2 linked regions of the Rattus norvegicus genome follow. The protein of the gene in region 1 purifies or fractionates together with the protein of each later gene. This does not show direct contact. Links are inferred from orthologs where the notes say so. Each region holds a gene or a part of one and is shown on either strand. Other genes may lie near its edges. The genes, in order: Diaph1 and Iqgap1.

What was found.
Region 2: the proteins of Diaph1 (region 1) and Iqgap1 purify together in Homo sapiens (affinity purification with western blotting; 3 studies listed by BioGRID and IntAct, with this or other methods). This does not show direct contact. The link is inferred for Rattus norvegicus from reciprocal best matches to the Homo sapiens genes DIAPH1 and IQGAP1.

What each region holds. Positions count from the first base shown.
Region 1 is NC_086036.1:29,978,592-29,982,405, reverse strand, and holds part of Diaph1 (protein diaphanous homolog 1), read left to right. Parts: intron 1-378; coding exon 379-489; intron 490-636; coding exon 637-755; intron 756-1,614; coding exon 1,615-1,731; exon of another isoform or gene 1,732-1,790; intron 1,791-2,712; coding exon 2,713-2,828; intron 2,829-3,539; coding exon 3,540-3,604; intron 3,605-3,814. UniProt on the Homo sapiens protein: Actin nucleation and elongation factor required for the assembly of F-actin structures, such as actin cables and stress fibers. Binds to the barbed end of the actin filament and slows down actin polymerization and depolymerization.
Region 2 is NC_086019.1:144,175,901-144,180,275, reverse strand, and holds the start of Iqgap1 (ras GTPase-activating-like protein IQGAP1), read left to right. Parts: upstream 1-1,322; 5' UTR 1,323-1,421; coding exon 1,422-1,476; intron 1,477-4,214; coding exon 4,215-4,314; intron 4,315-4,375. UniProt on the Homo sapiens protein: Plays a crucial role in regulating the dynamics and assembly of the actin cytoskeleton.

The sequences.
Region 1 (3,814 bases):
TTTTAAGTCTTTATTAAAATATGTAATGTTCTCAGCTATACTTTTTATATTTTAGGTGTTTTTCCTAAAGGAAAATGATTTTTTTCTCTAAAAAACAGAGAACTACCTTTCTCCTTGTGATGTTGGTGGGATAAACCAGCTACTTATTAGTACCTTAGGAAAATGGAGGTTCTGTAGTAACATGTTATGTCCTTGGATTCATTTAAAAGCCTAAATTCTCCAGAGTTGTGTTCAGCGAGGTTTTGTTGCTCTAGTATGAACTTCCTCTCTGTAGTTTTTATTCTGTATCTTTTATGGAGCTCCAGAGTGTATATAAATAGGGGACTCCTTATCCATAAGGTTGACGGCTGACGTAGCAGCTGAATTTGCTTGTTTCAGGTGGGATGCCTACAGCTGATCAATGCTCTCATCACTCCCGCTGAGGAACTTGACTTCCGGGTTCACATCCGAAGTGAGCTGATGCGCTTGGGACTGCATCAAGTGTTGCAGGTAAGATGGAACCTTTCCTTAGGAAGGCTGCACTTCCCTCCTGCTCTTCCAGCCCTGGTCATCTCTGAGATGATTCTGGTTTTCAACTTAAACACCAGGTTGAAAGGCTTGGATTTGGGTTCTCTCACTACTTGCTGTCATTGGCAGGAGCTTCGAGAGATTGACAATGATGATATGCGAGTACAGCTCAATGTGTTTGATGAACAAGGGGATGAAGATTTCTTCGATCTGAAGGGACGACTGGATGATATCCGCATGGAGATGGAATATCCTTTTATGACTGATGACTGAGTTCAGGACAGATGATACATTTACTTACAGACTGAATGTATGGAATAGTCTGGAGAGTGATCACTTAGAATAAGGCCTAAGACTGGGAATGGTGGCACATGACTTGAATTCGTCTCCTAGCACTTAGGATCTCTTTTGAGTTTGAAGCCAGCCTGGTCTGCATAGTGAACTCCAGGCCAGGCCAGCTAAGCCTACACAGTGAGAGTCTGTCTCAAAAAAAAAAAAAAAAAAAAAAAAAAAAAAAAAAAAAAAAAATATATATATATATATATATATATATGTGTGTATATATATATGTGTGTATATATATATATATATATATATATATATATATATATAATACATAAAGCTATGTCTACATATTGCTGTTGGCTTTATTTACTTCAGCATAGACCAGGAAAGCTAGGAAAGGTGATTTCTTTAACATCAAGGCATCCATCAGCCTGTCACTCAAGTGCTAACGTAACATGTTTAGCCATATTGCTCTCACGTCCCAAAGTGTCCATCCAAATCTCTGTACACCTCCTACAGCACGATATCTTCCTGAGCTGTGGGGTGGTATGCAGAGCCCTCTGGACTGACAAGCAATAATACTATTACACAGTTGCCTACCTGCCACAAGTGACTTTGATGTGGTTCTATTTTTAGTTTCTTCAGTATGTATACTAGGATCCTGTGTTTGTGGACAATGCCACTCTTGGTTGAATGAACTAGTGATGTTTTAGGAACAGCTGTTGTAGTAGAAGTGGTATCTTGATACCCTCTGTTGGTTGACAAGAAACCTGTCAAACATCTTCTAATTACTTGATTTCCTTAGCCTGTCCTTTTTTCTACTGACTTTGGTGAAGTTTTCCAGATTATTTTAAACACAGTGAAAGATTCCAAGGCAGAACCACACTTCCTGTCTATCTTGCAGCATCTCCTGTTGGTCCGAAATGATTATGAAGCTAGGTAAGCTGATAATGTTGCATCTAAGTGGAAAAGCAGCATCCTTAAATTCAAAGATTGTTCTAGAAAGGTAAAAAGAAATGAAAAAAGACTGTAGATTAGATTCATTAGTCACAGATATAAAGGAAATTATCAACAGCTTGATTAACATACCAACTGCTTTAATTCAGTTGAAAGGTACCTCTTTGGATAGGTAATTGTGTATAAAGTAAAATGTCCTTAGGAGGAAGTGGGTAAGTGGGCTGAGGATGACAACAAAGAGATGGAAACTTAAAGTTGTTTCTGCTTTCTTGGAAGTAGAGATCGGCCGTTGCATGACAAGGATCATAAGGCTGGAGTCCAGCCTGGGTGTTGGGAAGCTGTGTACTGGCGGATGGAGAGACGGCTCAGTGGTTAACTAAGCATGCATGCTGCTCTTGCACAGGACCCACCAGTTCCCAGCCCTCACATTAGCCACACAAACCTCCTGTAATTCTGTGTGACACTTGTGACCTCCATGGCACTTTTATACATGTACACAGATACACGCAAAGAAAAAGAAATTAAGTGAGTGCATGTGTGTATGCACATGCATGTTAGCATTTATGTGCTTGAGGTTGAACTCAGCATGTTCCACATGCTCAGTACATGTTTTACCACTGAACTGCAGCCCCCAACCTGTAAGAGCTTTTGGGTATCTGAAGGAGAGAATGAAAGCTGATCTAGAGAGGAGAATTTGCTAACACAGCAGTAAGGCTTCAGTTAGCTTCATCAAAGCTCTTCCTGGAGTGTTTATCCATAATTCTTTTTTTCTTTTTTCCGGAGCTGAGGACCGAACCCAGGGCTTTGCGCTTGCTAGGCAAGCGCTCTACCACTGAGCTAAATCCCCAACCCCTTCCATAATTCTTTTTATTGTCAAAGCCACTAACTCTTCTTGATCCAGAATACTTCTGGAAGATACATTTTTTATTTCTGTTTGATAAATTTGTTTTGTTTCTTTCATAGGCCGCAGTACTATAAATTGATTGAAGAATGTGTTTCTCAGATAGTTCTACACAAAAATGGAACTGATCCTGACTTCAAGTGCCGGCACCTGCAGATTGATATTGAGGGGTTGGTTGGTAAGCGTGCTTTTCTACCCAGCTCCTCAGAACACTCAGCACTTGGACCTTTTGTTTTCATCGTTCAGTGAAACTTTCAGAGAAATCCTTCTAGTCTCTATTTCAGTTCTTTCTCAGTACACCCTCTTTGCTGGCATTGTTTCATCCTAAGTTTATTTCAGCACAGTGAAAATCTTGCCTTTTTTTTTTTTTTTTTTTTTTTTTTTTACAGGGACTTCAGGTATTTTCTGACTCTGCTGGTCTTAGAAGCACAAATGTCACACAAAGGCATCCTTCGTGTGATTTCTTTACCTTGCACTTTGAAATACTAGGCTAAGGGCCAGCATGGTGGCAATAAGTAGATGTGCCTGCATGTGGGCCTGAGGACCTGAGTTTGTGCCCCAGATTCTGTATGGTGGCAAGGAAGAACCACTTTTGATAGTTGTCATCTGACTTGCACACATGTGACATATACATACATAGACACTAAATACACACAAAATATGAAACAACTATATAAATAAAACTTAGAGGAAATTGTAAATTGTACTTAACTGAAACTCACATTTCTTGGTCTAGTGCTAGTGCAAACCATTAGGAGTGGCGTCAGCAACCCAAGTGACAGAAGAGTGCCCTTGAGTGTGTTTGAGGCTTAGGAGCAGAGACATCAACTTCGGCACTGAGACTTGACTTACTGCATTGTTTTCAGATCAAATTGCTTTTTCTTTTCAGATCAAATGATTGATAAAACGAAGGTGGAAAAATCTGAGGCCAAAGCTACAGAGCTGGAAAAAAAGGTGTGTATGAAGGCATAGGACTAGAGTTACCTTATGTGTGAAACTTGGGTTCATTCTCTAGCATCATCCACAAATATGTGTATATGTAACACACACACACACACACACACAAATAAATTTGGGATATATCTTTTTTCTTTGAAGATAATTAAGTTTTTTTGTTTTTTTTTTTGATATTTGAGACAGTATTGTCTATGGTATTTTAAAAGC
Region 2 (4,375 bases), on another chromosome or scaffold:
AGGGGCTGGAGAGATGGCTCAGCAGTTAAGAGCACTGTCTGCTCTTCCAGAAGACCTGAGTTCAATTCCCAGCAACCACATGGTGGCTCACAACCATCTGTAATGGGATCTGATGCCCTCATCTGGTGTGTCCGAAGACAGCTACAGTGTACTTATATATAATTAAAAAAAAAAAAAAAAGGTGAAGCAAACCTGGGGTGTGTGTGACTGGTGATTGAACACTTATAGAGAGTGAAGCAGGAACAGGACCAACGTTTGACAGTTTTTAGTGTCTGTGGGAGATGCAAAAGTGCACATTAGATGGTTTGAACCTACTGAGGGGCTTCTAGATTGTCTGGATTGTGAGTAGAAGCCATCAACTGTATATGGTGAGCGTAAGAGTCCTGAGAACGGGACTTTAACTTTTATTGTTTTTTTTTTTAACTTTTTGGAGGCAGTGTCTCACTCTGTAATCTAGGCTGGGGATTACAAGGGCAGGGATTGGGGATTTAGCTCAGTGGTAGAGCGCTTGCCTAGCAAGCACAAGGCCCTGGGTTCGGTCCCCAGCTCCGAAAAAAAGAAAAGAAAAAAAAAAAAAAAAGATTACAAGGGCAAAGGAAATCCTTAATAGGTTCAAGATACCCCGTAAGAACTTGCAAAGAAGAGTACAGATTGTAAAGAGGCGATAAATAGCTCTTCTGATTGAGCATCTTCATCCCCCAATTTAAGAGAATGAGCAGTTCTACGCTTTAGCACTGCTGGGGAGAACAGAGGCCAGATTGACATAATATGGCAGAGTAGGGATGGGAGTCTTTCCTGACAGTGGGTCCCACTTGCGTCCAATAACACCCTGGGCCACCTGAAACGGCTCCTTTAAAGAGCCGCGGTACAGGGGTTGGGGATTTAGCTCAGCGGTAGAGCGCTTGCCTAGCAAGTGCAAGGCCCTGGGTTCGGTCCCCAGCTCCAAAAAAAAAAAAAAAAAAAAAAAAAAAAAGAGCCGCGGTACAGAGCGGGTTAACTCAGCTGTCAAGGAAAGGCAGGCGCCGAAAAAAGTTTGGATTTCAAAGCTGTAGACATTGGCGGCTTTTCAGTCTGAGCCGTAGATAGGGTGAAGGCGGGGAAGTGTCGGGACAACCGACCAAGCGGGCCTGGGGACTGCTACAGCGCCCCGCCTCTTCGCTTCCGCAAGTGGAGAGCTAAGCTAGCAGGGGCGGGTCCTATAAAAGTGACCACGCCCCTTCCGCTCGCTCTGGGGAGCGCAGCTGGGCGTGGACTCAAGGGCGGGGTCTGCGGGGCGGGACCTGCAGGGTGGGGCTGATGGCGCGGGGCGGGGCCTTGAGGACAGCGACAGCCCGCGCACTGGGCAGGAGTTGCTGCTGCTACGGTCGCCCGCGTCTTCAAGGTCTCTGCTCTTCCTCACCGGAGACCGGGACTCGGCCGCCATGTCCGCCGCGGAGGAGGTCGATGGCCTGGGTGTGGTCCGGCCGCACTATGGCTGTGAGTACGGGGTATTTGGGGGTGCGAGGGCGAGGTTTTCCCAGGGGCTCAGCGGAGCGGGTGCGCGGGGTGGCTTGGGACCGCACAGACCCGGAAGAGCAGCCGGCTGTATGGCTGGTAGCAAGGTTGGCGTCTGAGCCCTCTCGAGCTCCGGAGGCGGCGGGTAGAAACCTGGAGGCCTCAGCCTTCGCTAGGCGCCGCGGCAGGGGAGCCCCACCCAGAGCCTCCACCGGTTAGTTCTACTGAGATTGGGGAAGACGGCCTAGGGTGAGGTGGCAGGAGGACTGACTGTGCAGGGCGTGTCCTGGGCACTGGACCCAGGGGTTCTGCTCGGGCGTGGTGGGAAGGTGCTGCCCGGATTGCTGCCTGCGAGGGTGATCCGGGGCGCAGACCCGCTCAGCCTTAGGCTAGCTGCGAGGCGCAGTTTTAGGCAGGCAGCTTACACTCTCCTGCTGGGTTCTCTCTTCAGCAATTCAAAAGTAAAATTAAAACATAAGCACACCGAAATCGCCCCCGCTCCACTTCCTCATTTTCTGTAGCCATCCCTGCAACATTGGTGAATTAACCAGCTGTACGTGGGATTGAAGTTACAAGAGGATCCCTCTGATTCTCGGGTTTAGATTTTATGTTTTGAGGAAAGTGTTTTCTTAAAGGATACTTTAACACATCCAGGTATGCATTAGATAGTGTTATAATGTGTGCCACGTTTGTGAAATAAGGGATGAAAAAGATCAAGCAGTGCCTTCAGAAACTGTCAGAGAAAGAGACAGGTGTACAGACGATTGATAATAAAATCAGTGGGGTTGGGAGTTTAGCCCAGTGGTAGAGTGCTTGCCTAGCAAGTGCAAGTCCTCAGCTCCAAGAAAAAAAATTGGGTGCAATAAAGATAAACGACGCATGAACTAACTAGGTATAAAGAGTAATGGGGGTGAAGAGAAGGGACTTGAGGCCGTGGGAACACAGGTGCTGACTTTTTTTTTTTTTTCCCGGAGCTGGGGACCGAACCCAGGGCCTTGTGCTTGCTAGGCAAGCGCTCTACCACTGAGCTTAATCCCCAACCCCCAGGTGCTGACTTCTGAACAGAGGGTTGAAGGATACAGTGTGGGGCAGGGTGTGCAAGAACACGACAAACTAAATGTGGTACTGGAGAATATAGGGTTACTGTGTGTGGGAACACATAGTGTCGTGGCAGGGCAGAGGTGGGATGGAAAGGGGGAGGAGAAGGGTAAGGAGCAGCCCACGCTAGCATGAGAATAGCTTTATAGTCTTCCCAAGGAGTTAGGAATTCCCTCGACCCTAGGGATGGCTGTGGAGGAGGCTGATGGCTGCAACACTTGGAGACAGGTGGGCGGAAAGGGCCCTTTATTAGCCCTGGGGCTGAGTTCATCCTACCTCAGTTTCCTCTTCTGTCGAGTAGTGGTAATCACAGGATTGTTCTGGGCTAGAGTGGGAGAAAGTGTGTAAATTGCTTAGTCCGGGAGTTGCAGGCTTCCATTGTCAATAGATGGGAAGGCATGATGCCCTCTATCTTAATTCTGACTCACAAGGACAGACGTAGTTGATACTTCTTGAAGCTACAAGAAAAGGTAGTACATATATTTAAAACATTTAGAAATTTGGTTCCTTGAGAATTTTTAACATAAAAAATGAAAATGATTATATCTATCTCCTATCCCTCCCCTCCAATGATTTATCTGAGATTGTATCTCACTGTATAATTCTAGCTGACCTCAACTTGCTGTTTAAGACAAGTCTGGCCTTGGACTCAGAAGTCTGCCTGCCTCTGCCTTCCAAGTGCTGGGATTACAGGCTTGTGCTATTACACCTGCATCTTTTTCTTTAAGAAAAAAAAAAAATTATGGGGGCTGGAGAGATGGCTCAGTGGTTAAGAGCACTGACTGCTCTTCCAGAGGTCCTGAGTTCAATCCCCAGCAACCACGTGGTGGCTCACAACCATCTGTAATAGGGTCCAATGCCCTTTTCTGGTGAGTCTGAAGAAAGCAACAGTGCACTCATATGAATAAAATAAATAAATACATCTTAAAAAATAATTTATGTGTTTGGGTGATTTGCCAACATGCATAATGTCTGTGCACTATGTGTGTACCTGGTGCCTGCAGAGGCCAGAAGAGAATGTCGGGTCCCCTGAAACTGGAGTTATAGCTCATTGTGGGTACTGGGAATTGAACCTAGATCCTCTGTAAGAACAGCCAGTCCTCTTAACTGTTGAGCCATCTCTCCACCCCCTAGGCTCTCTAAAGTAAAAAAAAAAACAAAAAAAACAAAAACAACAACAACAAAAAAAACCCACTAAGTCAAACTAGTGCTGCCCCTATGTGCATGAATGTCTTGACTGTCCATCGGAGCATGGGCAGCTTACCAGTGACCTGACTCCCATATGATGCATAAAACATGATTTTATATGCATGAGTGCATGCATAGACATGTGCACAACATATATACCCGGTGACCTGGGAGGTCAGAAACGGCATTGGCTCCTCTTGAACTAGAATTACAGATGCTTGTGAGTGGCCATGTAGGTGCTAGAAACCCTGGTCAACAAGTGCTCTTAACTGCTGACACGTTTCTACAGCCCCTTACCATATATATATGATATGTATATCATATATATAGAGAGATATATACATATATCTATATCTATCTATGGCTGTGGCTCTCATTTATTTCTGAGGAGAGTCACAGTGCTTGGCGTTTACACTCTTTCCTTCTTGTTTTAGCTGTCCTGGATAATGAGAGACTCACGGCAGAGGAGATGGATGAGAGGAGGCGACAGAACGTGGCCTATGAGTACCTTTGTCATTTGGAAGAAGCAAAGAGGTACAGATGGACTAATTGGAGAGTTGACTGGGAGAAGGAACCGATGTTGTATGCTTTAAAA